4 linked regions of the Arabidopsis thaliana genome follow. The protein of the gene in region 2 interacts with the protein of the main gene of each other region in a pairwise test. Each region holds a gene or a part of one and is shown on either strand. Other genes may lie near its edges.

Region 1 (6,084 bases), on a different chromosome or scaffold from region 2:
TTGTTTCAAATCGGCGGATGAATCGGTGTTTCCGTTACAAATCGAATCCAGATCTGAGATTTTGAGATGGTTATCGTGAGATTCGAGAAGAAGAGGATGATCTTTCCCGAGAAGATCGTCGGGACCGAATCTGTGTGGCAAGAAGCTTCCGAGACGTAAGAATCCGTCTGAATCGGCGGCGGAATCGGAATCGGCGGAGTTGTTTGGATCGGTGATAAGGATTTTGATTTCAGGTGCGTCGCGAATTTCTTGGAGGAATTGACGGCAATGGCCACATGGTGCGGCGGAGACGGCGAAGAAATTGAGATGACGTTCACCGTTGAGTGTGAGATTGGTGACGAGGAACTGTTCGGCGTGGATTGAGTGGTGGAGAGGGAGATTTGGGAATTCGACATTGACGCCTAAGAAGATCCGACCTGATGATCCGAGTCCGACGACTGCGACGTTGAATTTCGAAATCGGAGTTCGAGCGTAGGATTGTGCTGGTTTGACTAGCGACGGGAGGAGCTGAATGACGGAAACGCCGAGTTGTTTCGCGGCGGATTCTGCTTCTTTGGATTGGATTACGAAGCTTGGCTTATCCATTGCGGGTTGATCCGGTTTGGGTCGCGTAAATGGGTCGGGTTATTTTTAGATGGGAGAGATCCGGGAAATGAGGAATTATGAAATGGATGCTGGACAAACAAACTATTTATAGATACAACAACGTAGGAAACTACATTACGCAAATGAAGTTTTGGTTCGGTTTCGGTTATGTTTCGGTTTACGTTTGGTACAAAATAGAAAAATTATATCAGAATTGAATTTACAAATAATATGATTTCGGTTTGACTAAGCCGCATGGAATCATTGTTATGAAAACTACCAAAAATGCAATAGAGTATTAGTGTAACGTAATGTTAAAATCGTGGTCTAATTAAGAAAACACCTAGTAGTTTCATCAACCACGTTACGAAACTACAATAATCTCCGGATAATATTATTTTAGAGGTCAGAAATGAATTAAACTATAGCTAAAAGACAGCTTAGTTTCATATAATTTTGATAGTATTAAACATTTTAATTCCGGTGTTGTCAATTTTAAGTTCCCAAAAAAATAGTTAAGAACAAAGGTGATAGTACTATTGTTGACAAAAGAAAACAAAGATTAGGTTTTGTTCTTATCGTTGGAATCAACGTCACAGACCAAAAGAGAAGTCTTTGTTGATAATTACGTTTTAACCAACGGTTAAGTTTTTCTTAATAGAAGAAACTGAGAAAACTCTATGACAACAATCAGTTTTCCAATTAGGGTCAGTTGTTTGTTTACATAGATAAGTGCCATTTTGTCGAACATAAACTGATAAACATAGAAACAAAATCCATAAAAAGAAAAAAACCTTTTCCACACACAAAGAAATCATAATATGACGAGCTATTTCCGAAAACTCCAATCTCAACAAACTACAAACAAATTTATAGACACAAACACATTTTAGACCCAACCTTGTTTGTATTTGCGGAAGAGATCCTCAGTCTGAGCATTCCTAAACGCGCTACAAGCAATAACATAAACCCATATGAGAACAACGACTGTGATGATAAGTATGAGATTTGCTTTACGCCATTCTTTTCTAAGGTTTCCCAATAAACCAGCTTTGCATGAGTTGCAATTGTAACAAAGCTGGCTTTGGTCATTGCTCCATAAGTAACAGTCTGCGTCTGCAGCCATATTGGTTGGATTTAGCCACAGTGTTGGGTTCACAAAGTTGTAGCCACATGCGGTTGGTGGTTTGCAGCAGCCGGACTGTAAAACAACAAATGTTCAAGAAATTGTCATAATTAGATTTGACCAAATATATGCTTAACCATGTTTTCAAATATGATAATCATAGTCTTAAAGATATTTACACTTTTTTTTTATTGGTAAAAAATATTTACACATTGTAAACACAAACGCTACCATTTGCGTCTGCCCTTTGTGTTTACAACAAAAATTTCATTTTGCTTAACATGGTTAATATTATGGGTTCATGTGGAGAAAAAAAAAGTATATACTAAAGGCAAACACAAACAATCAAGAGTTCAAGAGTCAAGACCTAAAACAATGAAACACTAGTTTTAGTCTGAAAGCTATAAAAATAAAACGACTACAAGAAACCTAAAAAATTGCTTGCTTGGTATGAAAGTACATAAAAAAAATGAAAAAACATGTTGAATCTTATCACAGAATAATCTTCTTTTACTTATGAGTAAATTTTGGTTCTGTCTCGAGGACGAGAAATTGTATAACTCTTTCTTAGAAATAAACTTATTTTTTCTTGAGTCCTAATTTATCCAATAAGAAAAATTATAATGTGAGTGGGGCAACATGGGAGGGATATAATTATCTATTATGTTTCATGATGGAGACAAAGACTTGTGATCGTAATTATTGAATCAAATCATTGGTCCAATATTTAATAATGTCTAATGACTAAAAGATTTAAAATTCAGTCGAGACCTCAGCATCTAGGCTTATTTAATTATTAGTGGTTCCAATCTTGTTACAGTGACAATGGACTAGGATGACAACTTGCTATAGAAGTTTTAGGAATAAAATTATTTAAATCACCCTTAATCTCTCCATGTTTAAAGCTTAAAAGACATAAAAGACATGACAATGAATTTTAAGAGTGATTTTAATTAATAAAATTAAATAGAAAAAGTAGGAAATTTTGTCAAGTTTGAGTTGTGATCACGAAAAACACTATCTAAAGTGAATGGGATCATTGAATTTTATGAGTGAGATAGTGACAAAGGAAAAATATAATTAATACACAGATAAAACATAGTTTATCATGTACCATATTGTGGGTGCATGGGTGGGTCCTTATGATAGTGTATAATTTTGAAATCTGACTATCTTACTATATAATCTTGTGGACTTGGTCTCCAGCAACTTCTACACCAGTCTACTAGGAATAAATATGTGTTCAATAATGGTGATTACATATGCCTAATCTATGAGTTTTACCACAAAATGGCACTAACTGCGAAACGTTAAGAAAGCTAATGTAGGTTTCTCTCCAACACTAGAAAACATAAGATTAATTAAGTCAGAAAATATTTTTTTAGTTTTTTCAAAGATGAGGAAATCCAAAACGAAATAACTTAAAGCTGCAAAACAAAAAAAAAGAATATAGAGAATAAGAACAATTCTCTTTTGGACATCTTCACAAAAGCTAAAGAGAAATTTTTTAACTTTTTGATTTAAAACCACATACTTTACTTTTTGAAAGAAAAAATAACCTATCTTTCTATGGCAAGAACAAACCGTAGGTCTCACATAATCTAGAGATTTTACAAAACATTCTCTTTACTTCGTATCTTATCTCCATTAATCATCTAATAATATCTAATTAAACCCACAATGATTCGTTGGCATAGTTGCATAACCGATATTTAGTCTAGATTTACCTCTAAACCAAACCTAAACCGGAAACTAGAAATTTCGGGGTTCTTTTTATAAAAGAGAATAAAAGAAGAAAGAACATGCCTGGAGAGGAGTGATCTTAGAGGAGGAGAAGAACTGATCGGCGGTGATGAATTCTTGGTTGAGTTTAGGACAAACATTAGTATCAGCCAAACAAGCCCTTAGCCTTCCCCAGTTCTTGGAATCCACAACGTTCTCCTTAAGCCAATTCGAGAACCCTTCAAGCCTATACTCTTTATAACCTCTACCCGGAACCCGATACGATCCATCGGGCCGGGTCACGACGAATGCAAATATAAGAACCACCAGCAAAAGTCCGATCAATATCGCCATACAGCACAAGTAAACCGCCAGTAGAGTTTCCTTGTACCTGAAATATGAGAGCTCAAAGTTTACATCTTTATGATTCAATTTGTGTCTATGTTTTCAAAGTCTTGAAGTTCTTTGATTCTTACTTGTAGGCGCCGATGAAGCCTGTGGCGGAGACGACGAGGATGAGAACGCCGAGGACGACAACGGGCCAACGGAGGAGATTGACACACTCGTTGTCTGGCTTTGAAGCTAGCCATATACCTGACGCCGTTATTGGTATGGAACAGAGTAACGCTAGTAAGTTGAGTATCGCCGTTAAGTTATTCGCTAACGCCATTAAATTTTCTCTCTCTCTCTCTCTTTGTTCTTGAAGATTCGTGCTTTTTATGGAAAGAAAATGAAATAATGAGAGTGAGAGGAGTGTCTCTGTTTTTGTCTTAATGACTTATGAGGTCGGTGGTTAGAGATGATGGGATGTGTGAAACCAGTTACTGCTATTTACAGAAAACGATGTTCGGTTTGGTCCGGTCCGGTTAATCACTGATTTTGCTGATTTGGATTTTTCGACAACGGTGGTTTTAAGAAAAAAGAATTAGATATTGGATTAAAGTTAACATGTGAATGTCAGAATAAAATATGTTTAGCAATGAAAAGTTAGGTTTTGAACAAGTTTTGGGTTGTGATGTAATAAAGAGAACTTGTTAATCTGGTCGGACCGGCTTTTGGTTTAGAATTTGGAATCTTGAACGGGACACGTGGATACGCGAGATGCCTTTTGTGTTAATATTCTTCCATTCTGCGAGTTACCGAATGCATCAACCAGTGAGAACTATCCACGTGGCACCGACGACTTTGGGTCATTTGCATTGAACGTATGTTACTTTCGACAGAGAATGCAAAATGGAGTAAGTTCCATTGTTCGGAAATCGGAATTTTCTTCTTTTCCAAGCATTAGAGGTTTCGGAGCAGGATTTGTCGTTGGCTGATGAGTGAAATGTCGGGTAATGGTCAAGAGATAAGCTTTTGTTTTGGTTCAGAGGATTGGGATTGCACACAAGCTGCTCGATAGAATGTGTGAACCAAAACATATGGATGAATTTTTCTCATCTCGATTTTATTGCGATTGGAGAAGAATTTTGAGTCAATACACACTTAGCTTTCAGTTTTAGATGCTGATATAGAAATGCTATTTGTTTGATTCTAGGAATTGGGAAGGAAATGAGTCAAATCAGAGAGAATATGGAAAGAGATGATGGCGGAGTTGTGGATTACGTTAAGAGTTGAATTACATCTTATAAATCATGAAATTGACTGTCAATCTTAGAGCTTAGATTACAAGCTCTTTGTCTAATCTCAAGTTCGACACAGAGCTTGATGAGACTGCTTCAGTTTGGCTTTGGAACTTTTCAAGTGGAAGTGAAGAAAGAAGAGTGAAGTAGTATAGCTGAATCAGCAAGATTCTGACATGGCTGGTTATTTAAATTATAAGGAAACACAAGAAGAAGACAAAGTTTTTATGATGTGAGTACAGAAGCGTCAAATTCCAGATGCATCCTAGGCTGAATCCGCATTTCCCATTTTCTTCATGGTCTCAAGTCTGGGGCCTTTGTCTCCAAACTTGGTAGTTGAATAAAGCTTTAGGTAGTCTTGAAAACGGTAGCCACTTGGATACAAGAGCTTTGGAGCTGGAGATATTATGGCATCACCAGCCGGATTGTAAAACGTAGCAATCGACAGTCTACTTCCATGCTTCACTGTCATTACACGGTGAACAACACTCTTGTACCTCCCATTACTCAGTATCTCTAGTTGATCACCGGTATTGACAAAAATGGTATTGTTCTTGGATGGCGGTATAGGAACCCACTTCCCATCTTTAAAGAACTCAAGACCAGGCACTTGATCATCCTGCAGGAGTAATATGATTCCCCCAGCATCCGTATGTTCTCTCAGCCCTCTCATAAGCTCAGGACGTGGGCATTCTGGGTATTTAGCCACTTTTGTTCCAAAAGCTGGACCTTTTGGACCAGAAAAGGCATTCATTATGTCTTCCTGATCAAGACCAAGATTCTCACACATGAGCTTGGAGAGTCTCTCTGCAAACTTGTGCAGTTGACAAACATATTCATCCATCGTCTTGCTGCAAATATCAATTTCACCCTCTCACATTGTTTAGTTAAATAAGCAAACAGGTAAAAATGGTAGAGCCTTTGGTACTATTCAATTCTTAATTACTTTACCTGAGTTCCTCTGAAATGTTTGGGATCTGACAGATATTTGAAGTTGGTTTATGTGAGATGAAGAAACTGCTTTCCCAA
Region 2 (8,884 bases):
TAATGTTTGTATTAGGAACCACAAGGGTATGTAGAAGGATCACATGGACATGATAATGGCTCACAAGGGCAGGGTAATGTGTTACAAGGGCAGGAAAATGTGTCACAAGGGCAGAACAATGGCTCACTAGGGCAGAACAATGGGTCACAAACACAAAGCCAAAGAGGAAGAGGTCGTGGAACACAAAGACAAAGGGGAACAACTCGTGGAGCACAAAGACAGAGGGGAAGAGGTCGTGGAACATCACAAGTGTCTGAACAACCACAAGGAGAAGCACAATCGCAAGGACTTGCTGGACTTGCACCATGGTTTGAATGTTCTCGTGGAACATGATAAGCTAGTCTCATGTTTGTTTTTGTTGTTTGAACTTGTCTTTATGACATATGTTTAGTCTCGGTTTGTTTTTGTTGTTTGAACTTGTCTTTATGACATAATCTAAGTCTTTTTACTTATTGTTGTTTGCACTTGTCTCTCTATATGATTAGCTTAGTCTCAGTTTTAAGAAGTTGACCTTTTCTTTCAAATGAAATTCATTACCATTACCAAAGCTACATGTCATTACATAGTAAAAGCATAACCAAACACAAACTAAACAACAAAGACCAACAACAAGAGAAACAACAAAGACATCACATTCAAACTAAGCTCCCATTCGATTACACACTAATAACCAAGAACAAATTTCTGGGTTTTTTTCTTATAGAACATTGATATTACAATTGCAATCACACTAAAACAAAGGCACACCAAGCACACTTTCGTCATCTTTTTCCATCTCTGAATTTCTCTTTTGCTCCACATTCCATCTTCTTTCAACTCTATCATTAGCTCCTTTAAGTTTGCAATTTCAACAGCAACCTCAGCTTTTGCATTGATTATCTCGTTATCAATGCTGGAGATTTTGGGTAGAGCATCTATAACCTCTTCATACATACAATCCTCCACCCATTTGAACAAATGATCCTGCAATTCCATCTCAAGCTTTTATCGACCAAACACAAAAAACATCACATTCTCATATCAAATCTACTTACATCTTCACAGCTTTTGCACCGAAAGAAAGGCCTTCCAGGGTTCTTAGCCGTGCTCGATGTAAACATGACGACGTCGAGCCCACATTTACACTTAACAGGAAACCCACGGCTCTTGAAACCTCCAGCTTCAGCATTCGAAATCATTCCTGAATTGCAGCCTCCACTTTCACCACTCGAATTCCTTGAGTTGCAGCTCATAATGCAGATTTGATCGAAAAATTTGAGAGAAAATGATTTTTAGGGTTTGGGTTTTGATTTGGGGATTTTTCAGAGGTTTCGTCGACTTTGAAGTCTGTTGATAGCACAAAACGTCGTCGTATCACCTTAACGGATGTTCTGTAACGTCTGTCAATTACGCTGTTAGAAGGAATTTTAACGGTGGTTAATTAGGCCGAGTCAACGCAAACTTGAATGTTAAAACAGAAGTCAACTTTTTGTTGAAAGTTAAAACGGCCATTTCACGAGTTCACGGTTAATTTGACCATTTTTTGTAAGTTGAGGTATTAAATAACATTTTTCCCACTAAATTATAGAGTTAACATTATTAACCATAAACATAATCACTTTCACTGGACTGGACTCGAGCAGAAGAAGAAGATTGGTAACAAGTCAACGTCGGTGGTTGAAGACAGATTGAACCGGTACAGCCATACCGGTTTTAATTTATCATTAAGTATGGTTTTTTCCTTTTCTTACCAATGGGCCTAAAGGGACAATTGCTTAATTGGCCCAATATACCTAACAATTCTATTCACTATTGTCTGTGTATTCTCTCTGTCACTTCTGTTTTCATCAAGTTACTACACCAGAGTATTTACATAAATTGACAAATTAACCTGTGAGCTCTAGGAGAAGTACAATTTGAAAACCATACGGTTCTATTTTTCAAATCCAAACCATTATCCTCAATTCATATATACTATACAAAGTAGTTCCAACGAAGCTACAATATGTATGTAATTGTGAAACCAAACTTATGTTATCTGCTTTTACAAGCACAAACCATGAGGTGCTAAATGAGTAAATTCAGACGAAGAGCACTAGACAAAAGGAGACTACTCTTGATGCTGAAGAGAGAGAGACACAAGGAGAGATTATACGAAAACCAGGTCGAGGTTTGTTGCATAGAAATCACAGTTGAAGCAGAGGCAACGCCATTACCACACCGAAAACCGACACTAGCAACAGTATTATCCACGCTGGCAATCCCTGTTTATTGTTCTTTTTCCTCTCCTTCAAGCCACCTTCTGAATCTCCCTTTGTTGGATCGATGGTTTTCTCTGACTCGACTTTGGTATCGCTCTTTTGAGGAGACTCTGGTGTTGTCAGTTGTGTGGTAGCTTGCTCAGCTAGTTGCTGCTGGTTGTACTTCTCTACATACTCTGGAAATAGCTTTCGAAATGCTGGGCTGTCACAAGTAAGAACATTGGATTCAGGTGAAATACCGAAAACATGTAATCTCAGGACTGCATTCATTCCTATATTCGTTATCTAACCAGCTTTTATGACTATCCTAACCACAGATAACTAAACTTAGCTTCTATATGAATCCAGAATTTGAAATTTTTTGATGATGGGAAAATCTTACGTTTTACAATTGAAAGCGAGAGATGACTTAGCCAACCGTTGTTTCTCAATTACAGTAGTGTTAACACTTCCAGTTGTCGGACTGGTATCCATCTGCGCCGCAAGGAAAACGTTTAGAGAAAGCTTGAGAACAGAAAAGAAAAAATAGACTTCCTTTTTGAATATTCATATCTAAGCTAATAAACCATTACAATATAAGAATATGAGAATTTTCAAACAAGATGTCCATAAATATGTAGAACCTACAGTGAGCTTACCATAAATGAGAGAAGTCCTGTAAGTATGCTGCATTCATGAAAAAAAGTTGGTTATCAACGGGTATATCGATTGTCATCTTCCAAAAGTAAAGAAAGAATCTATACCTTGATACAGACCACATCGGATTCCAGCTTTCTGGATGAACTGTAAATGCCATGTCAACTTATTTCGATATTAGACAAGTTAATTGATACGAAATAATGAACAGAAAGTGCAGATTGTCCTTACAATCACTCATAGATAAACAAATTTTCTTCTGTGTCATGAATCGACCATTTGGTGTAGTCATTCTGAGGCAAACAGAAAAAGATTTGGTTCATTAAAAAACTGGACAAAAAATGAGGTAAGAGTAATGTTGAGACTGAATTTGGAGGAACCATTGGAACATACGTAATCCCTGGTGGCTTGTAAGGATACTCGGGAGGAAACTTGATCTTTCCATAGTAAAATCCACCTGGTAAAGAGAATTTTAGTATCAAAAATAAGATACTGCGTAAGACAACACTAACAAGAAACTTTCAAAAGAAGATTTTCACCTGCAAAAGGTGTTCCCTCACTGCCTTCCAGCACATAATCTGTAAGATTAATCCAATAGTTTAACTCTATTTTAGTAAGAGATCAAGCTACCCTTTTTAACATACTAAATGCAGTAATAATAGAAAGACTGAAACTCCCTAACCGCTATCAGGCTAACAGTAACACTGACAGCCTTTCACAATTGAGAAGAAAACTATCAAATCTATGCATTGTAAGTACATATAAACCTTTGATAAATAAGTCTTCACTATTCCATCAAAGTAATGTGAGACCTCTTCTGTCTACTTAGATCGTAGTATCCCATTTTTTCTTAGTTTAACGTATACTCACAAGTGTAGCAAATATGTCCATCATATATACTTATCATAACATCTTTATAGAAACGCTTGCAACAGGATTACAGGAAGCCAGCAGGAATAAAGATTAAGAAAAAAAGATAGGGAAGGCTTACGCCACTCGAGAATGTCATTTGGGGAAGGACGAGCAACAACATGGGAGACTGGTTCCTAAAGGCCAAAAACAGAACATATTAAATAACCCCCAAAGAAACAAAAGAAAATATGAAACTTACTCTAAACCAAAACCAAGAAAACATTCACATATAGATACAGCATCATTTGAAAGTACAGAGAAAACTGGTTGAGCAATAAAAATATGGAATCCTGGTTCCAGCTCGAGAGAGGTAGAAAAACAAGTAAAGAGAGTGTACCTTGCAAAGTGCTCTATATTCCTTTTGAAGACGTTTTATACAGGCCTTTTCTGCCATCTACGTGCTATGGACGAAGTGAATAGCTGCAGCAGCTGTTACACCCATTTAACATTATCAACAAAACGAAATACAAATATGAGTGAAAGTCCACCTACTGATGAGATGGACTACATAAAACCCTTATGTCTGAATTACATATATGAACTACATAAAAACATATATCGAAACGAGTAAATTGCAGTTGATTTTCGTGCCATTGATATGGAAACTTTACCAATTGTACTATCTCACAACACATATACAGAGATAACAATACTTCTAGCTATTATGCAATACTTTCATGACCTGATTGAAAAGAAAAACCAACCAAATACACACAAGATCAAATGAAACTTGAGTCAAACAACTCTATGATCACCAGAAACACCCTTTGAATAAAAATCCCCAATTTCCATGAGCTTGGAAAAATCTTTTCACCCAAATCACTGCAAACCAATTGAAAGCAACGAAAATTCAATCGAATTCCAACCAAATTAAAGGAAATTATCTGGAAATCCCTGGAATTATATATCAACCTAGAAAATCCTTTGATTGAACCGAGAAAATTGCAACAATGATAGGCAAACCAAACTCGAATCAGCTGCAATATCTTCCATAAATATATAAGAAAATCACAGATACTTCCACATAAACCGTATCAAAGCAAAGTCTTAAACTTGTTAGAGATTCCAATTGCAATTTCAAGCTTCGCTCTTACCCAGAAACGCAAAGGAACAAGAACAACAAATCAAAAGATAATGCAGCGAAGAAATTCCAAAGTAGATAACATCAGATCCAAGAAATAATTGCGAAAATATGAAAGAAATTGATCACCTGAATCGAATTTTGTCGATGAAGATTTTCTCTCTTGGGGTTTCTCGTTAATCTCACTTTCTCCTTCTCCGCGGGTAGAGAGAGAAAGAATTAGCCTAACTCGCGCTTGGTTTATCTAAACCGAACAAAATTCAACACAAGTTAGACCGGTATTGTATAATCCATTCCGGTTCGTTATTAGAGGATCAATGATTTAATAATTATTTTGCGTAATGCACTTTTCCCTATTTCTTTATTCTCCACCACTCATCAAAGAATCTGTGCCGGTTCTTGGAATCAATTTTTCCTTCTCTTCATGAAATATAAAAAAAATAGCTGCAGAAGAAGAAAAAAAACTAGTGATTAGTAGTGAGACAAAACAGCTGTTACCTGCAATTTTTTCTTTTCTGAAATTGGACTTACACTAATACCTCCAAATTCCAAAGTTATGCTTAAAAAATAATTTCAATAAAGTTAAGTTTCAGCCTCTTTTGAGTTCCCCGATAACAGTAGGCAGAAATCACGTGCTCTAATCACATGACCACCATCTCTTAGTTTCAAAGCAGTTACATGAGTTAGGTAATGTGAATATGTGGATCTTTGTCTCTACATATGATATTGTATCATTGTTTCAATGTAGATGCTTGAGGAATATCATCATCATCGTAAGTAAATGATTAAGAATAAGATAAGTATCTCACCATCTGATTAAATAGCATTAGTCAAAGTAAGATCACGTGATCAGATCCCAATAACTATGTGTTCAAACACACATAAATCTTATTCTATAAAACCAACAAGCTTTAGAAGTCTCTCGTCTCTCTTTTCTCTAACACACATCTCCATCCAAGATTTTCTCAGTTCACAGAAAAACAGAACAAGAAAAAGTCAAGAGGTTTCAAGAGTCCTAAAGGAAATTTCAAGAAGAGAACTCAGAATGAAGAGATGCTGTTCAGTGGCTCTGGTTCTGTTACTTGTAGCTTTCTTTAGCAGCAAGTATAGTGTAGAAGGACGTTCTCTGTTAACGATGACACATTCGAGTCAAGCTGTGAGAGATTTGCCTGTAAGCAAGGAGATGAAGAAAGAGCCACTTAAGGGAGAAAATGATAGCTTCAGAAGAATCCCAAGGAGTGGCTCAAACCCTATACAGAACAAGTAAAGAAGATACGAGACACAATCTAGTTTTTCTTTTTTTTTATGTATCCCCAAAGATGAGTTTTAGGTGTAATTGACATCAAAAAGTGTTTCTTTTTGTATCAGGTGTAATCCACCGGTAGATGTTAAAGCAAGTAGGAAACAACAGCAGATCACAACATCAAGAAAACCTTAAAATTCCAGTTCTTTTTTTGTCCTTATTTAGATCCTCTACTTTCGTTTTTTTTGTAGAATAGGTACCTAGACATGTGTGCTTTTAATGCTGTAATCTACTTGAAATATATGAACTCATCTTTTAATCTTATTGATCGATCAAGATAGGATGAAAATTTAAAACGCCTCCTAGCTCGAGTAGTCTAACTTTCCAAAACTATTCTCAACCTCTTTAATCTTTTGAGTTCTTCTTCTTTTCTCTGCTTTGTGGTTTCTTTTATTTGACTTCAGCAGACTTATCCTCAGCCATAGCATGTTGTTCTCAGTGGTGCTTAAAACCTTAAATATAAAATGATCAACCTCTTTATCTATGTTCTCGGTTCTATATGCTTCAAAAATGCATCCTCAGATCCGTAAAAAATTGAAAGTTGTTCTGCAGGAAACCTCACAATATCCTGACTATTTAGCTGCCTATCTCGATATCCAGTGATTACTCCTCACTGCAAAACAGCAACAATGAAAGAAGTAATCACAGCTGTGAGCACTAGATTCCTTTTGACATGTAAGTTTGTACTTCTCTAAAACACCGATACAGATTGTTGAGATTGTTTACAAACTTTTGGACCAAGAAGAAACAAAGTGGCATCCAACACATTACTCAAAAATGACGTCGTTTTGCTGATCCCATGTATAATAATATTACTGTTATTAGGAAACGCTGAGAAAACCGCCGCCAAAATGACGTCGTTTTGCTGATCCCATGTATAATATGATGAATTTTTCCCACGAACCGGTTGGGCCGGAAGAGAGTCTCTAAACCGTAACTCGGCCCATAATGGCCAAATTTTGTCCAATTTCTAACAGCGTTTTACGCGCCGACTCCGACCAATAAAACACATGGTTTTGTCTGAATAATCCACGATCCAGAAGTTCTTTATCTCCAATTAATTGTTCATTATTATTATTAGTACCAAACTAAATTAAAAAGAAGAAGAAAAAACCACCTTCATTTATTACGACCTCTCTTTAGACAAATTTTTTGACTAAGAAAATATCATAAACGGCTAAAAGACTCGAGATTACGGATTATGGATTGAAAACACACAAAACAAAACAAAACAATAATAATAATCTCATTCCTTTGTTTGAAATTAAAAAAAAATCTCATTTACGTTTATTACATTCTTTTTTTAGATTGATTTTTCGTTGAAAAGATAAATATATAGATGGCTTTTGACAGAGTATTTGGTAAGAAAGAAAAAAAGAAAGACATTCAATATTCGTTGAAAAGGGTTTAAAGAAATCCGTTGAAAATAAAGGAAAACAAGATAAATTCTAAATCCGTGGACGGACAAAAAAATGTCAAAATCAGTGTGAATTGGAGAGAGAGAGAAGACAGGAATTGGGAAGTTTCGTCTTTCGAGCAAAACTATCGAAATCTAAATTTAGATTGAGAAACAAGCCAACAAGCTTTTTAGTATAAATCCCATACCACACAATCACAAATGCGGAGATTCGTGATTGGCCAAGCTAAAAATCTCATAGATCAGAGTCGTCGTCGTCAACTTCATCATCACAAAAATCTCAGCTTTGTCTCTCTTATTCCTCCTTTTTCTGCTCCTTCCGATTCTTCATCGCGCCACTTGTCTTCTTCTTCTTCTTCCGATATGTCTGCTTCTGATTCCTCTTCCTCTCTTCCCGTTACTCTTGACACCATCAACCCCAAGGTCCGTTTTTTTCTTAATTTTTCCTTTATTCTCGCCTTTTTGGGTTGCTGTTTGTTAGTGATTTGTGTTCTGTGTTTTGGATTATGTTTCCTCGATTGATCTGTGTCTTTTTGCAAGCTTTGATTTTGTTTTATACTCCGATGAAATTTTGTGATTTATGATTTGGTAAAGTGAAGAGCTTCGTTTAATTTCTTCGAGATTGCTCTGTACTTGATTTAGGGTTTATTGATCACCTGCTTGTGTTCTTTTTGGGCATCATGTTTCGAGTTTATGCATATTATGATTCGTATCCTCGTCTCCGCATCTTGATCATTGACCCTTGATGGATTTATTTCTTTTACGTATTATATTACTAGGTGATCCTTTGTTTATAGGACTATTTAGAATCCATTTTGTTCTTCAGCTTTTTGCGTATATTAAAAAAGTCTGTTGCTTTCTGAATTCTTCATTTTTGTTCTTCCTTGTGATTAGCTCATACTTTACAATTGAATAGTTTATTGTCGAGGAACAGTTCTGCATCTTAAATCTAGCTTTAGTGACTGATGTTTTGTTTGGTTTTTTTTATTCTAACAATATGGTTTCTTTTTGGGGGTTCTCAGGTTATCAAATGTGAGTATGCTGTCCGTGGAGAAATTGTCAACATTGCTCAGGTTAACATCTTTGTCCTTGATTGTATATTTCTAGTGGAGACTGTTTTGCTCATTTTGATTTCTGTTTCCATCTTACAGAAATTGCAAGAAGATTTGAAGACTAACAAGGACGCTTATCCCTTTGATGAGGTACGTTATAATCGGTTTAGTCCTTTTCGTGTTTTCAAGCTTGATTCTTTTCATGAGTGAAGCTTACAAGGTTCTATGTTTTTGGCAGATTAT
Region 3 (7,236 bases), on a different chromosome or scaffold from region 2:
GTTATGTTCTTACACAAATTTGAACATGCGGAACAATTTTGCATCTAGATTCTTTATTTAGGTATTGATAAAGAGATACAAAGGTCCAAATTGCACTTTTAGAGACGTCAAAAACTTGGTAAAATCTCTTCTTTCTGACTTCTAAAATACCAAAATTACCCATAAGAACTCATGTATGTACGGAATTACCATTTATGATACTGACAACGATATCACGGGCTCCAACGAAATTGTGATCTCTTTTGTGCGAATCTTATCTTTCTTATTAGTAAAATATTAGGATACACGTCGAATCTTGCGGTGTGGCAACGTGGTACGTATCTCCAAAGTTGTTCGTTCGGTTATCTAAATAATGTTGAATCAAATAAACATTGCATGTAATGACAAGAAGATTCCTGTTCGGTTGGTTCAAAGTTTGTAAAACGCCAAGTTCTGCTGCAACTTTCCAGCATTGAAAATTCCAATAATATATGACAACACAGAATTATTTCTATAAATCATTATAAAATTTTCGTGAAGACATGTTAGGGAAATACGGAGAAAGAGGGGGTGGTTGAGGCTCACACATGAACCAAGCCGTTGTCATCTCGATTATTTTCTTCCGAGTAGATAATGATTATCAATTTAGATTAAATTTTTTTAAGAAATGAAAAGTGAGCATTTTAAATTTTTTTATCTTTGATTTGTTAATGATGATGAATTGTAAAATTTAAGAATAATTACTATTGCTTTAGGGTAAAAAATTGTTAATCACAAAAAGTGATGCATTTATAATCAGATTTTTGTAATTTTGTTTTATTATGTGAAAACTGAAAAGTTTAATACGATTAGACTAATTACAAACAGATATATTACTTTCTTTTTTTAGTTTGACAAGTTTTTAGTTTGTTGTTGTATAAGTAATATGGTCACACTAGCTAATTTTTTTTTTTCGTCGATCACACATTCACACTAGCTAATTAAACAGTTACATGACTCACCTATAGCAAAGTACATGTAGCCTGTTAAATGATTAGTATAAGTTAAGTTTATAAAACAAGTGACTCGCCTGTCGCCAAAAGTTCAAAAACATATTTAACCCAAACGTGTAATGATAATCATAACCTAGTAATACTAAAGAAAATGTTACAATTAGAAAAAATATTAAAATGGTCAAGACTATTTAATTATTTAACGTTCAAATGTTTGGAATTATTTATTAATTATTTCATCTGTTGAGTATATTCATTGAGAATAGAAGCAACAAATATTAAATTCTAAAAAATAATAAAGTAAGATACACAGAATAAAATTTAGGAAAGCAATAAATAACCGAGTAGAAATCATAAAGCAATTGAAACTGCAAAATCAAAACAGTCAAATATATTCTTCAAAATGTTGAAATGTGTGTACCTAATTATGTAAAATTTCCATGCAATTTGTTTCCGAGTACCGGAGCCATCTGGTCAACTTTTTCATTTAGTGTGTATCTATCAAATCAAAGTGCTGGCCATTAAGTTCCTTAAAACTTGTAAAAGAGATTGAAAAAAAAAAAAAAATACAAATAAATATACTAATTGATTGGCTTCTTCACCTTTTGATATTTAAAAATGCCAATTTTTTAATTTGGAGGTAAAGACAAAATATCTTCTTTCCAACTTGTAGGAGCTGCCTCATCACTCATGTCATGCTTCCATCTTTTTGAAAAGCACCCAAATACCCTGACTTTTTTTACATATGTACGAAGTTGCCATTTAGTGGTATCGACAACATTATCACGAGTTCCAACTTTCAAGTAATTCGCGATCTACTTTGTGAATCCATTTGTTAATATAATAACTGTGATACTCCGAATCTTTAGTTGCGGCAACAAGGTACGTACGAATCTCCAAAATCGTTGAGTTTAAATAACACTAATATAATAAACACATTATTTCATGTGGTGGACAAATGAAATTAGAGATTCGTGAATAGGTTGGTTGAAAGTTTGTAAAAACACACTTTTTCAAAATAAAATAAAACAGAGTTTGTAAAAACACACTTTATCAAATTAAAACAAAAAAGAGTTTGTAAAAGCACCTACTTCTGCTGAAACTTCAAACTTGCAAGCATCTAAAAGTCTAATTAGTGATGTAAGACATAGAAATTATTTCCATAAATTATTATTTATTTGCATCAGACATGAAAGATTGTCATTTCTGATTATTATGCTTGAGTAAATGGTTCAACTTCGTTTTACCAAATTGTTAATGCTTCTAGAAAGCAATACTTCGAGTTATTTATATCTATTGCGTCAATGCAAGGTTTGTTTTAGACTTTTTAGCTATTTAAAGCAATAAGTATGAACTAATATCAAAAAAGTATGAGCTATATCAAAAGTCCAAACTTAAAAACGGTCAGGCTTTTACTTAGTCCATGCTTCACATTCCTAATTGCTTATCTAGAATGCAGCAAATAATGATCATAAAATTTGAAAAAAGCGTTATAGAAAAAACTCCAAAGAGAACACAAATGACCACATAGATATTATCATCACAACCCCATGAAACTGTACATCTAAAACATTACTGAAATGCAAAAAAATATCCAAAACAATATTTAAGTATCACAAAACATCATTTAAAATAATACTCTAGAAAATAGAGAATAAAAGTAAAAATCCAAATCAAACCGGAGTAGGTGTAGTATTAGCACCAGAAGGAGAAGGAGATCGTGGCTCAACTCTCCTAAGCTGAATGGCTTTGTGAGACTCATCATCATCAAAGTACATATAAGCAAAACCACCGTGCCTGGTCATATCCATACCGGCCATCTCATCCTCGGACGATATCCGCAACAATTTCATTTTCTTGAGGATGAAGAAAAGTGTCCCCATGGTCGCACTTACCCAACCCGTGATCACAATGATCTGAATCAGCTGAGCTCCAAGTAGTTTTCCTCCACCGCCCATAAACAAACCGTGTGGCCTTCCGGGTTTGTTGCCGTAAATCTGGTTCAAGTACTTTTCTTGAGCGAAGAGAGCCGTGAATATTAGTCCCCACGCACCGCAACCACCGTGTAGTTGTGCTGCCTCAAGAGGGTCGTCGTATTTGAGCTTCTCAGCGAGCTTGTTGCATCCGAGGAGGACTAGGGCCGCCACGAACCCGCAGATGATCGCAGCCCATGGCTCAACGACAGAGCAGCCACCAGTTATGGCTGCAAACCCTCCGAGGAGGCCGTTGCATACATCAGTGACGTTCCAATGTCCCGAGAGTAGACGTTTCCCAAATAGGGTTGTCAGCGCCGCGGTGCAGCCAGCTAACGTTGTTGTGACAGCTGTCCGTCCGACCGCGCTCCACTGGCCGTTGTATGTGCCTGTCTCGTACGTGACTAGGATCTTGTTGAAGGAACCGGGGTTAAATCCGTACCATCCAAACCAGAGGAGGAATGTTCCAAGGACAACAAGTGACGCCGAGTGGCCACGAAGAGCGATGGCACGGCCTCCGTTATCGAACCGGCCAAGTCGTGGACCTTCGATGAGCGCACCCCAGAGTCCAGCGATACCTCCGACCATATGAACAACACCGGACCCAGCGAAATCTATCGCTCCGGTGCTGAAAAGCAAATCTCCATCGGTACGGAACGGGCTGGCCCATCCATCAACTGACCAGAACCAGTGAGAGACGACCGGGTAAACAAACCCGGTTAAGAAAGAGGAATAGATTAGGTAAGCCACGAACTGTGTCCGTTCAGCGATCGAGCCACTTGTGATTCCAGCCGCAGCGATTGCAAAGGCCCATTGGTAGAGAAAGTTGGAGTAGTCAGCAGAGGCCGTGGGGATGTCTTTGAGACCAAAGTAGTGTTTACCGATGAAACCATTGGACGGAGATCCAAAGGCAAAGGCGTAGCCAAACAGATAATAGAAGAGACCACCGGCTGCAGCGTCAAGGACGTTGGTAAGCATGATGTTCATAGTATTCTTGGCTCTCACGGAACCGGCACAGAGCATAGCGAAGCCAAGCTGCATAGAGAAGACAAGGTAGGCGGAGAAGAGAAGGTAAGTGTTGTCTATAGCGAAAGCGGTGTCGATAAATTTGTTGTTGACGTCGCCTAACTGGCCACAGATGTAGTTGGCCGCCGCCGTGGCATTAGGACCCAACAGGACAGCGAGATCGGTGGCCGAGCAAGACATGTTGAGAGTTTAGAGAAGAAGATGAAACAGAGAGGCTGAGAAAGAAAGTGTTTTGTTTCTCTGTTTATATAAAAGAAGGAAGCTAAAGGCCTAGGGTTGACTTTTCAATCCTGACGAAAAATATTCGTAACGCATAATACAAAGTCTTTAAGTTTTGTTTATTAGTACATACATGTGAATAAAAAATAAATAAGGAATGTAAATGTATCAGGCTTCAGCTAATATATCGGTGAAGATAAGATCTGTGTGTTCAGAAAAAAATATTCTATCACATCCAAATGTATAAGTGAATAACAGAAAAATAAAATGTAAAAATATTCTATCACATCCATATAGTTGTTGGAAATGGCAGCGAAATTTCGAATTTCTTCTTCTTCGTTTAGCCACAGGGCTAGTGATTCCTCAACTTCATCATCTTCTTCATATTCATCATTGCTTGCTTTACCTCAATTCTTTTGTCCACCATCACCATTAGGATTCCCAGAATTCAAGCTTCATGCCAAATTAGGTACTCTTATATCTTTTATTTGTTTGTAGATGTAAATTTTGTTAATCTTTGGTTATTGCATAAGGTGGAGGAGATGGAGAAGTGAAGCCTAAAGATAAGAAAAAGTTTATAACCAAAGAGGAAGAACCTGAACAGTAAGTTAATCTTAATTCTCAATTTTCATCATGAGATTGTAGAAAATAACAGAAACTCATAGAATGGTAATGTAATTTTGCAAAATCACAGAAAAACAAACCTAGGAAATTGATGAAAACATGGAAAATTACAAAACGATATGTAGGTTACCAATTTAATACAAAAATTTTAGTCTCCATTGCAGAATTTAAGTAGTTTTTTTTTTTGTATGTGTCAATGACATGTAGACTGGTGGTTTGTGACATTGTGTTAGTATTGTATCAATATCCAGACTCAAATCCGTGTTAGCAAAAGAATAAAAATATTTGGGTTGTAGTTTAGTCAAAAGAACTAAACTCTTTTAAAATAGAAAAAGAACTTAAATTCTTGCATGTTCATTTTTCATAAACATGCAATTGTGATTGAAGAAATGGTTATGGATGAGGATTGCATTGGAATTTTGTAGGTATTGGCAAAGCGTTGGAGAAAGAGAAGGAGAGAATCCGATGAAGACGCCTCTTCCTTACATTATCATATTCGGTATGTCAACTCCATTCGTCATCTTAGCCATTGCTTTTGCCAATGGTTGGATCAAAGTTCCCATTCGTTGAGCCTTTCTTTTTGTTTTTTCTTCACTTGTTTAAGGCTGAATCTTAAACATGTTTCTTATACTCTTCTTCTTCGGCTGTAAAAAAGAACAAATTAATAGAATGCTATCACTATATTATATGGTGCTTTGCTATACTACATGTCTTCATTACAAGCAAATGTATAAACAAATATTAGTCATCTCTTCATCATTAGTGATATGTTTGGTCTTGTCAAGAAGAATGAGAATTAGAGACAACACAAAGTAGTGACATAGAGCCTAGTTGGCACATTAAGCAGAGACTTGAAATCATCTAGAAGACTTTTCAAATTACAGCCTGACGAAAAATATTCGTAACGCAAATTGCAAAGTCTTTAAGTTTTTGTTTGTAAGTACATGTGAATAGAAAATAAATAAGAATAATAATAATAAAAAGGAATGTAAAAAATGTATCAGCTAATATATCGGTGAAGATAAGATATGTGTGTTCTTAAAAAAGTATTCTATCACATCCAAATATATAAGTGAATAACAGAAAAATATATATAGTATTGAGACTGAAATTCCTTGTTTTTATTGTTTTCTTGGTTAGGCGAAATTTCTTACTATCTCTTTTGAACATTAAAAAGTGTCAATTTGACAAGATATTCTTTTGTTTTCAAAAGTAAGTCTTAGATTTGAGTATTAATATATTATAAATTACGTACTTACAAAACTATGTTTGCATTTAGCATATTTCGAATTCATTTATAAGATATTAATTGATAATTTCTGTGATATCTCAACCAGGTTGTTGTTGGTATATCTTAATTGACTAATTGAGAGTGAGCATAATATCCACATACCACATGCTATAAAGTTAATGTTTCTTTTCCGTTAAATTATCTTTTCTATTTATATAATATAAAATTTTCACAAAGTAGTTTTCCTAAAACATGTTTGGAAATTCATCAAGTTAAAAAGTAACTATATGATAGAACCAAGCATAAAAAATTGATCAAGAGATATTTAGATTCCAAGATTGGGGAATAGAGGCAACAATGTACAGTTTACTTTTGGTCTTGATGAAGGCGTCAACGAGCATATAGTACTCTTGATTTCCAAGCTAGATGCAGTTGATCTACCGCGATTTGTGATGGGGCTTGAATTACAAATTTATTCACCCTTATAGCAGATCTTTCATCGAGTAAATATCAAAATATTTGCGGACAACTGAATCCGATAAAGGCTTATGTGAATATTGCAAGTGAACATGACAATGTTCTTGTTCAATCCGATCAAAGTGTAGACATCAATTTTATTGAGTTTAATTTATAAATGACGAGGGTCATAAGACATCTTAACTCAAAGGATTTGGAGACTAAGCTCAAGTTTCGGGATTGAAGAACTTATTTGATGAGAGGCTTCTCTTTTGGTGAATTCAATACCAATGGCATGAGCATATTGAAGGGATGCTCTTTCACGACTCTTTAAAATATCTTAAAAAGTAGATATGAAAAAGAAGAAATTGAGAGAAAAGTCATATAGAGAGAAGAAAATTAGAAGTATATACAAAAAAAATCGATAAAAACTGTAAAGAAATCGAAGAGGATATAAAATTTCTCGACGTCGACGAACTAAAACTCTATCGATACCGAAAATTAGTCTTTGAAGTGGTATTTCAATAATATTGCATGAAAGTGTTTTACCAGTATCATCACTAAAAACAATAAGTGTATGTTTTTAAAAATATATACTATACCTTTTTTTTTCTTTATATCATCGATGTCGAGATATATCTCGATTCTTAGGTTGTTAACTCTACAAAACAAATATTCGTAATTAAATTCTAGCGAAAAAAAATCCACAAAAAATGGAACTTTAATCGCTTGACCA
Region 4 (7,294 bases), 2.0 Mb from region 2:
AGCGGAAGAAGAAGAACAAAGCATCTCAGGCCGATGTAGATGCAATGGACGTGTCAAAATCTCTGTCAAGCACTCCTACTGGTATTGAGACACCGGATGCAATTGAACTTCGTAAGGAACAGAGAAAGGAACCTGATAGGGCTCTATACCAGGTACTTGAAGAAAAGGGAGAGAGTGTTGTTGCTCCTGGAACATTGCTGAGAACTACACACACATACGTTATTAAGACTGGTACTCAGGACAAGACGGGAACCAAAAGGGTTGATTTGCTGAGAGGGCAAAAGACAGATAGAGTGGATTTCAGTTTACAGCCAGAAGAGCTGGATGCTATGGGAAATGTTTTACAGTATGAGGAGGCAAGAGAAGAGGAGAAATAGCGCAATAAGCCAGTGGACTTGAGTGACATGGTCGTCGAGCATGTGTAGCAGAATAGTAGGAAGAGGAAAATGCATGGCAAGGAAGAGAAGAAAAAGAAAGATTTCAACTTCTGAGGTGCGTTATGGAAGAGACAAAAAAAAAAAGATTTTAGATTCTGGACATGAGACATAGAAAGAGATTCATGTTCCAGAATTATTAGTCTTGAGTAAGAGATCTTGAGTTTTTAGTCTTAATGCTTATTAAAAAAAAAAAAAAATGTTAGACCACCAATGATGTAAATTTTTAAATAGGTGATTGCATCATTGTGTAAACCTAATATTTACATTTTGAAGGATTTGGTCTTTCTGCAGTATGTAAGTTAATTCAATCCCCTTATTATTCTGACTTGTAAGGGGATTCAAACCCCATCAATGGTTTCTAAACTTAAGTTTCTTATTTTAGAGAGATAAGTTTTATTATAAAAAAATGTGTGGGTTTTTTGATTAATGAAGAAACCATCTCCAAAATACTTTATATAAGAAATTTTGGAGAGAATTTCTAAATATTTAAGAAACCCACATAATTAAATAATATTATTTTTGTTGTTTTAATGTTAAGAAACTTATATTTAGAAACCACCAATGAAATTCCTCTAAACATTAACATTGCATATAGTCATAAAAAAAATATCTATTTTCTTTTTGGTTCTCTTTTTAATATAGCTTTCTTGGTCAACACTTATTCTTAAATATCTTAGAAATTAATAAATTATTTCGTAACTCGTTGAAAGATAACTGGCCACACTTTTTGTGTATGACTCAGACATAGTTTTTGTCCACTCGGTCCCATCATGCAAGTAGATAAACACTGAATCACCAAATCTTGTTTGAGATTTAGAAAAAAAGGAAGCTCCAAGAGATGGCAAGAGTTGTTAAAATCGATTCTGCAGAGTCATGGAATTTCTATGTGAGTCAAGCCAAGAATCAGAATTGTCCCGTAAGTCTCTCTTCCTCTTATCACTTTCGTTTTCTAGTAGCCAAAATGAAATCTGATTTAGATCCAAGACCTATGAAAGAATCAAGATCTTAGGATTAGAGTTTTATGGAGAATTTGATTTACAATTGGTTAAATCCAAATTGTGTTACTCTTTAAGATATGAAGTTAGTGAGAATGAACCATGAATATTAATGTTCAGGATTGTGAATGAATGGCTCTGTCTTGTTTGTTTATATGAATTACCAAGAACGGTTGTTCCTTTATGGTTTTTTGCAGATTGTGGCTCATTTCACTGCATTATGGTGTATTCCTTCTGTGTTTATGAACTCCTTCTTCGAAGAGCTTGCGTTTAACTATAAGGATGCTCTGTTTCTAATAGTTGATGTTGATGAAGTTAAGGTAAAACTACTTATGTGTCTCTCTACTTGATATGTCTTTCTACTTTGGCTTCTTTGTTGAAGAGAAGTGTTTAACCATCAAGAGTAAAAGATTTAAACAGTTGCTAAATTGGTAGATGATTAATGGTTTTTCTTTGTTTTTTACTATGTTGGATTGGTCAGGAAGTGGCAAGTCAACTAGAGGTAAAGGCGATGCCAACTTTCTTGTTCTTGAAGGATGGTAATGCGATGGACAAACTCGTGGGCGCAAACCCTGATGAGATTAAGAAACGGGTCGATGGTTTCGTTCAGTCCTCACGTGTTGTTCATATTGCTTAAGAGAGATTTATAGATACGAGCAGAATACTAAATAAAGTTTGTGTGAAGTGTAATTAGTTTGTAACTTTGGTATTTGGTTTGTGTGAAATATCAAGTGTAAGTGTAAATTTTTATAAAAGCAAGTTCTGTTATAAACAAGAACTGGATTTATTTAATTTTGGTTCTTAACAGGGTAATTTGAAACCCATGTAGCGACCAGAGACAAAATCATTCCAAACATTAAAAGCTCCATGGGTTGTCATCAGTACAGTGCTAAGTGCCATGACGATACCAACTGCAAACACAATGATCGAAGCCCTCCCATACTTGGCTATAACCTTCTTAACCACCATTAGTCCAACCAGTGATGCCACGAAACAGACCAGAGCAAATATCGCAGCGGTTCCAGCATGTTCCATGCCTAGTAGTAGGTACTGGATTGCAGACATTGATGAAGAAAACAAAACCATGAACGAACATGTAGCTGCAGTTACCTGTAGAGAGAGCACGATTAACTTAAGAATCCAATTGCTTGTTTTGGTAAAACTTTGGTTCTGATGCTGCTAGAGAACAAGACTCAAGAACGTACCTCTGGAGCAATACCGATTTGGAGAAGAAGAGGACTAATGAGCATTCCACCACCAATACCAAAGAGGCCACCCAAAACTCCAGCCAAGAGAGCCATTACAGGGAGCATCAACTTGTTTTGTCTTCCTCCAACTCCAGTCTCCTGTGGAGTAATTTCAGTTTCATATTCATCAAACCTGTTGACTTTTGACCAACAGAAAAGCTAATTTAATCAACAGCAAGTAGTATGTATTGGACCTGTTCAGAGTTTTGGTTACTATGCGATGTGTGGTTGCTTTGAACATTGTCACTGAAGTAAATGCAGAGAGTAAAGAAGATAGTGAGAGGTATTTGAAGCGAGGAGAGGAACCAGTAGAGAGCTCCACATGGCTTGATCGATATGATTCCCTGTGCAAATCCAAAGTATATCAACTTCTTACTTCTACATGCCATTAAGATTTCAATAATTTGGAAAGAATTATAACACTTCAAGGAACGTTCAAATAAGTGGAGGGAATGTGGAAACAGAGCAATGAGAGCATTGAGATAGAAAAATATTCAAATCAATCGACCAAAAATCATAAATACGCGTTTAGATACTTAAATTCATACCTGACCGTATTTGTTTCCGCGGAAAAGATTAATAGAGAAGAACAATAACCAAATGATCACTAAAACTCCAAGCTTCATCCATGGAAACCTAATCATCCCTCTCTGTCTCACATCTTCTCTTTCTTCACTCAGAAGCGGCGATCTCGCTACCTCGATGCCATCAACGTCTCTTGGACTCTTAATCTTCGCTCTTTCCGACTCCAAATTCCAGTAAGAAACTCCCTTTTTACAAGTCTTCATCGTTGACCAGGCGAGGAACACAGCGAAGAGAAACAACACAAGCCAATTTGGGAACATACGGTTACAGATCACACCAATACTTACTCCGAGAAGTAGACATGGCTGAATAGTAAGAGCTAAATCGAAGTCGATTAGGGTTTTGTCTCTTGATTTAGGGTTTCTCAGGAAAAGATTGCATCCCACGTTAGCGAAAGAGACGCCGGTTACCATGAACGCTGAGAAGCTTGAAGCTGTTTTCATTTCGAGACCGGCGATGATTGTCATTATCGAGAGGAAGAGTCCACCGCCGCCGATTCCTCCGGCGCTGGAGATAGAGGCGGCGAAGAACGAGAGAACGGCGGCGATTATGGTGGGGATGGAGACTTCAATAGTTGATTGGCTGAGGTCCTCCGAGAAATGGAGCCATTGGCTTGTTGTGCTGCGGATTTGACTCTGGTCTGCAAGGGCGGATGGATTGAAGATGGTGAAGATGGTGATTAGGGAGAGGAGAAGAGGGACTAAATTGATCGTCATTTTCTTTACTTAGGGGGTTGTTTGTAACCTTTTGAAAGTTTTGGGGTTTATTTTTGTTTGGAACGTTAGAAATTTTATGCTCATTTATTGTTTGGTTTATACTTATATATGAATCAATAAAGGGTTTAGTCAACTGCAATTCTAATACAAGGTATTTATTACGGAATTAATTAATTTAAGACAATTTGGTGAAATAAAAAACTAAAGATGACAAATGCAATTATTTTTCCTATGTTTTTGTAGATCTAGTAGTATTATTTTTATTGAAATATTTATTCAAAGGAGCTTCTTTCCCATATCCTCTAGATTTGTTTTTGTTTTAGGTACTTGTAAAAAGTGGTAATAGCATTATGTATTTATTAGCTGAAAAAATAAAGACTATGGCACCAAGTTATATTTGTCTTTCTTTTACATATCAATTTTTGGAAATTAATTAAGAGAAAGGGAGAAAAGTTTGAATATTTGCATACAAGTTTGGAAAGAAATACTTGTGCTATGTGTAAATGTCCTTTGACTATCAAGACGAGAAATGGGCTAGAAACATATATGGGAGACAAGTTCTAGAGGAAAAATGATGTTAGCAAGCTTAGTTGACATTGTGGTTCAAAGTAAGTTTACGAACATATTTAATTTATAGTGTGTAAGAAAACGTACTATTTATTTTATCCCACCAGTATGTCATATTATTATTTTTATACCCAAAAGTGAGGCAATCGTAATAAAATGCAAGAAATTCAAAATTGTCAATCAAAAATGAATTGTTTTTCAAATTAAAAATGCGATAAATAGTGTTCATCACTTGGCACGTAAAAGGTTGACTTTTAATATCGGAATGAATCCGGACATAACACATGTCCAACTTGGCATATTTAGCAAACTTGGACTATTTATTAGAAGATAGTGTTTATAGAAGAAATGTACATTAAAAAACGGTAAATCGCTAATCCTAGGCCTATCCTCACGATTGTGATGTAATGTAACCCACTTCCGTTGATTTCTTCAAAGAAATCAAAAGTTGTGGGTTCTTCTAGAGATGCTACTACTACAACGATCGATGGACGATTGTCATTGATGTTATCGAATGGTAAATCGGACAAAAGTTTCTGGATATGCTCTCTTATAATATCACAATCACAAATGCTATTTCTTTTCAATAAGGTATTTGGGCTTCATTAGTAGCTGTAGCTGAACCTTTTGTTTGTCACATGTCTTTACTCTTATGCTCATCCATGTTCGTTTATATTTTTGACCCACTGTTCTGTTCTGAGACCTTAAGTGTAAGAAGAATTCTCAAGTTAATATACATCTTAAAAAGCAGTTATGAAATATAGCCGACTAAATAAATAATTAATTAAATAAATAAACAGAGGATATAGTCCATAACAAAATAAGAAATGCCAAAAAAAAGAGAGTAAAATTATTACATAAACCATTTCCACTTTAATACACTCAAAACAAAATTGATTTTAAGCCCAAGGGCTAATGGAACACTCCCAAGGAAGAGTAGGGAACCTCTCACTGTCTTTGCAATAATCGTATACGACGAGATTACGCTGCACCCACGCATAATCCATCTTCTGTGTCTTGGACAAATGCCACGCGTCGTACTGATCCCACCAATTCTCTGTTGTGGTAGAGACGCATGCAGGGAATGGATCCTTCCAACGGCAGCCTTCGACGGCGAAGTCCTTGTAAGAAGAGACGAATGGAGCTTTTTTCCAGTCAGTCTTCTCCAGACCACCACGTGTAGCCCAATCGTCAGCGTTCCAAATGCTGGAGAACAAGTACATCGGCTTCTGGTTCGGGAAGAAGTCGTTGTTTGGTACCTTATCACTGTTCTTGTATACTCGAATTGGTACCCTATCCACGAAGAACCTGGTTTGGATTGGATTAAACCGGGTTATGCATTGTACCAATCGATAAAATTAGCTTTGATTGACCAATTCGGTTCGAGTTGGTCTAGTTTGAGTTCTTTAAAGTTTGGTTAAGATAGGCTTGCTTTGGTCGGTTTGAACTTTAAACCAGATTGGAATTTTTGTGTCGGTCGAAATTTGAATCTGCACCATTTAAGTTTTCTCAAAGCTAAACGTAAGAAAACAGGATTGAACCTATTGTGAAATTAATCTGTAAACTGAATTATGTTATTGTGAGTGGAATGTTGGTTCTAACTTCGAACCGATCATAAACCTAAGGTTCCGGTTTCTACCCAAAATTCCCGGTACAGTTCGTGGTATCTCTATATATGTAGCCAACTAACCATTAGCCAAGATCAAGAGAGGACTTACACAAGCTGGTGGTTATTCCAAAGAATTGAGTAGGTGTGATAATCCTTGGTCGGGTCGAACCAGAGGGAATGTCGCATCTCCCGATTCCCGGTTCCGTTCTTATACACATTGGTCTGAATAATGTAAGGCTGTCCGGTTCGGTTCCCTAGAAATTCGAAATCTATCTCGTCTCTCTCCGGTCCTGCCCCATTCTCCGAACACATCTGCTCAACCAAATTTAATCTAAAATAATTAATACAAAACAAAATCATTGGTTATCTTCTTTACAAAATTGAAACATTAAATAAGAACGACGGCTCACGTAGTAAGCGGTGACGACGCCGGCGGAGTCGCCTCCGACGAGCTTTAGCTTCATACTAAACCATCCGAATCTATACATGTGCTTTGTCTGAAATCCACATCCTGTTTTATTTTTTATCCAATCAGAATATTTAAACTTTCGATATAATAATCAAGAGACTAAGTTAAAAAATGTCATGTAGATTTAAGTAGGAACAGAGTAAGTATCAGTGTAATTTCGAAAGACTAGAACGGCATTGATCCTAAACCGGAAGCAAACTGGATTTGAACGTACCGGTGTCGTTATCTAAGGAAAGATTCCAGATCTCTCCATCATCGGAAGTCGTGAAGTGATTTTCAGACCACATAATGTTGAAATTATCTTCAAACGATTGTGTCGGTGTTGCTGCGATAGAGGACGACGCCATTAGAGCCGTCATGAACAAGAACAGAGCCGTCATGGCAGAACAGCTCGTTATGATCCTCCTTTCCGTCTCCATTGGTTGTCTCTACTTCGAATATTTCGAAGAGAGAGAGAGAGAGAGGTAATGCAATCTACACTTGTTCCGTGAGTGAGAAGAGTATAGAGCTTTCTTGCTTTTATTATAAAGACCGGGGAAATGACTGTTTTGACCATTAATAATTCTTTTAATATGCTATTGCGTTTAGACTTTTGATACGGTTTTTTTTCTAAGATTTTCATGTAATAATGATGTTTACGATAATTTGTAAAAGAAAGCAAAAAGGGTA

What was found.
Region 1: the proteins of UBC34 (region 2) and TET2 interact in a protein complementation assay, tested with the Arabidopsis thaliana proteins (one large-scale study listed by BioGRID).
Region 3: the proteins of UBC34 (region 2) and AMT1;1 interact in a protein complementation assay, tested with the Arabidopsis thaliana proteins (one large-scale study listed by BioGRID).
Region 4: the proteins of UBC34 (region 2) and AT1G11540 interact in a protein complementation assay, tested with the Arabidopsis thaliana proteins (one large-scale study listed by BioGRID).

Annotation. Positions count from the first base shown.
Region 1 is NC_003071.7:8,470,919-8,477,002, forward strand, and holds TET2 (tetraspanin2), read right to left. Parts: upstream 4,236-6,084; 5' UTR 4,104-4,235; coding exon 3,910-4,103; intron 3,825-3,909; coding exon 3,518-3,824; exon of another isoform or gene 2,687-3,517; intron 1,787-2,686; coding exon 1,475-1,786; 3' UTR 1,216-1,474; downstream 1-1,215. Other genes in the region: CDA1 (cytidine deaminase 1), read right to left, coding at 1-585; ACO1 (ACC oxidase 1), read right to left, coding at 5,321-5,906, 6,007-6,084. UniProt on the Arabidopsis thaliana protein: May be involved in the regulation of cell differentiation.
Region 2 is NC_003070.9:5,914,981-5,923,864, forward strand, and holds UBC34 (ubiquitin-conjugating enzyme 34), read right to left. Parts: upstream 5,363-8,884; 5' UTR 4,999-5,362; intron 4,997-4,998; exon of another isoform or gene 4,218-4,996; 5' UTR 4,183-4,217; coding exon 4,126-4,182; intron 3,923-4,125; coding exon 3,868-3,922; intron 3,455-3,867; coding exon 3,416-3,454; intron 3,334-3,415; coding exon 3,270-3,333; intron 3,170-3,269; coding exon 3,108-3,169; intron 3,042-3,107; coding exon 2,984-3,041; intron 2,907-2,983; coding exon 2,879-2,906; intron 2,715-2,878; coding exon 2,623-2,714; intron 2,443-2,622; coding exon 2,166-2,442; 3' UTR 1,852-2,165; downstream 1-1,851. Other genes in the region: AT1G17285 (uncharacterized protein), read left to right, coding at 5,735-6,132, 6,238-6,307; AlaAT1 (alanine aminotransferas), read left to right, coding at 7,791-8,012, 8,612-8,662, 8,741-8,791, 8,880-8,884. UniProt on the Arabidopsis thaliana protein: Accepts the ubiquitin from the E1 complex and catalyzes its covalent attachment to other proteins.
Region 3 is NC_003075.7:7,855,134-7,862,369, reverse strand, and holds AMT1;1 (ammonium transporter 1;1), read right to left. Parts: upstream 4,188-7,236; 5' UTR 4,151-4,187; coding exon 2,645-4,150; 3' UTR 2,452-2,644; downstream 1-2,451. Other genes in the region: AT4G13500 (uncharacterized protein), read left to right, coding at 4,496-4,658, 4,723-4,792, 5,239-5,383. UniProt on the Arabidopsis thaliana protein: High affinity ammonium transporter probably involved in ammonium uptake from the soil, long-distance transport to the shoots and re-uptake of apoplastic ammonium that derives from photorespiration in shoots.
Region 4 is NC_003070.9:3,873,243-3,880,536, forward strand, and holds AT1G11540 (Sulfite exporter TauE/SafE family protein), read right to left. Parts: upstream 4,082-7,294; 5' UTR 3,981-4,081; coding exon 3,228-3,980; intron 3,024-3,227; coding exon 2,874-3,023; intron 2,779-2,873; coding exon 2,638-2,778; intron 2,543-2,637; coding exon 2,234-2,542; downstream 1-2,233. Other genes in the region: AT1G11520 (pliceosome associated protein-like protein), read left to right, coding at 1-377; CXXS1 (C-terminal cysteine residue is changed to a serine 1), read left to right, coding at 1,276-1,353, 1,630-1,752, 1,914-2,069; XTH8 (xyloglucan endotransglucosylase/hydrolase 8), read right to left, coding at 5,447-5,855, 6,266-6,468, 6,567-6,667, 6,840-7,044.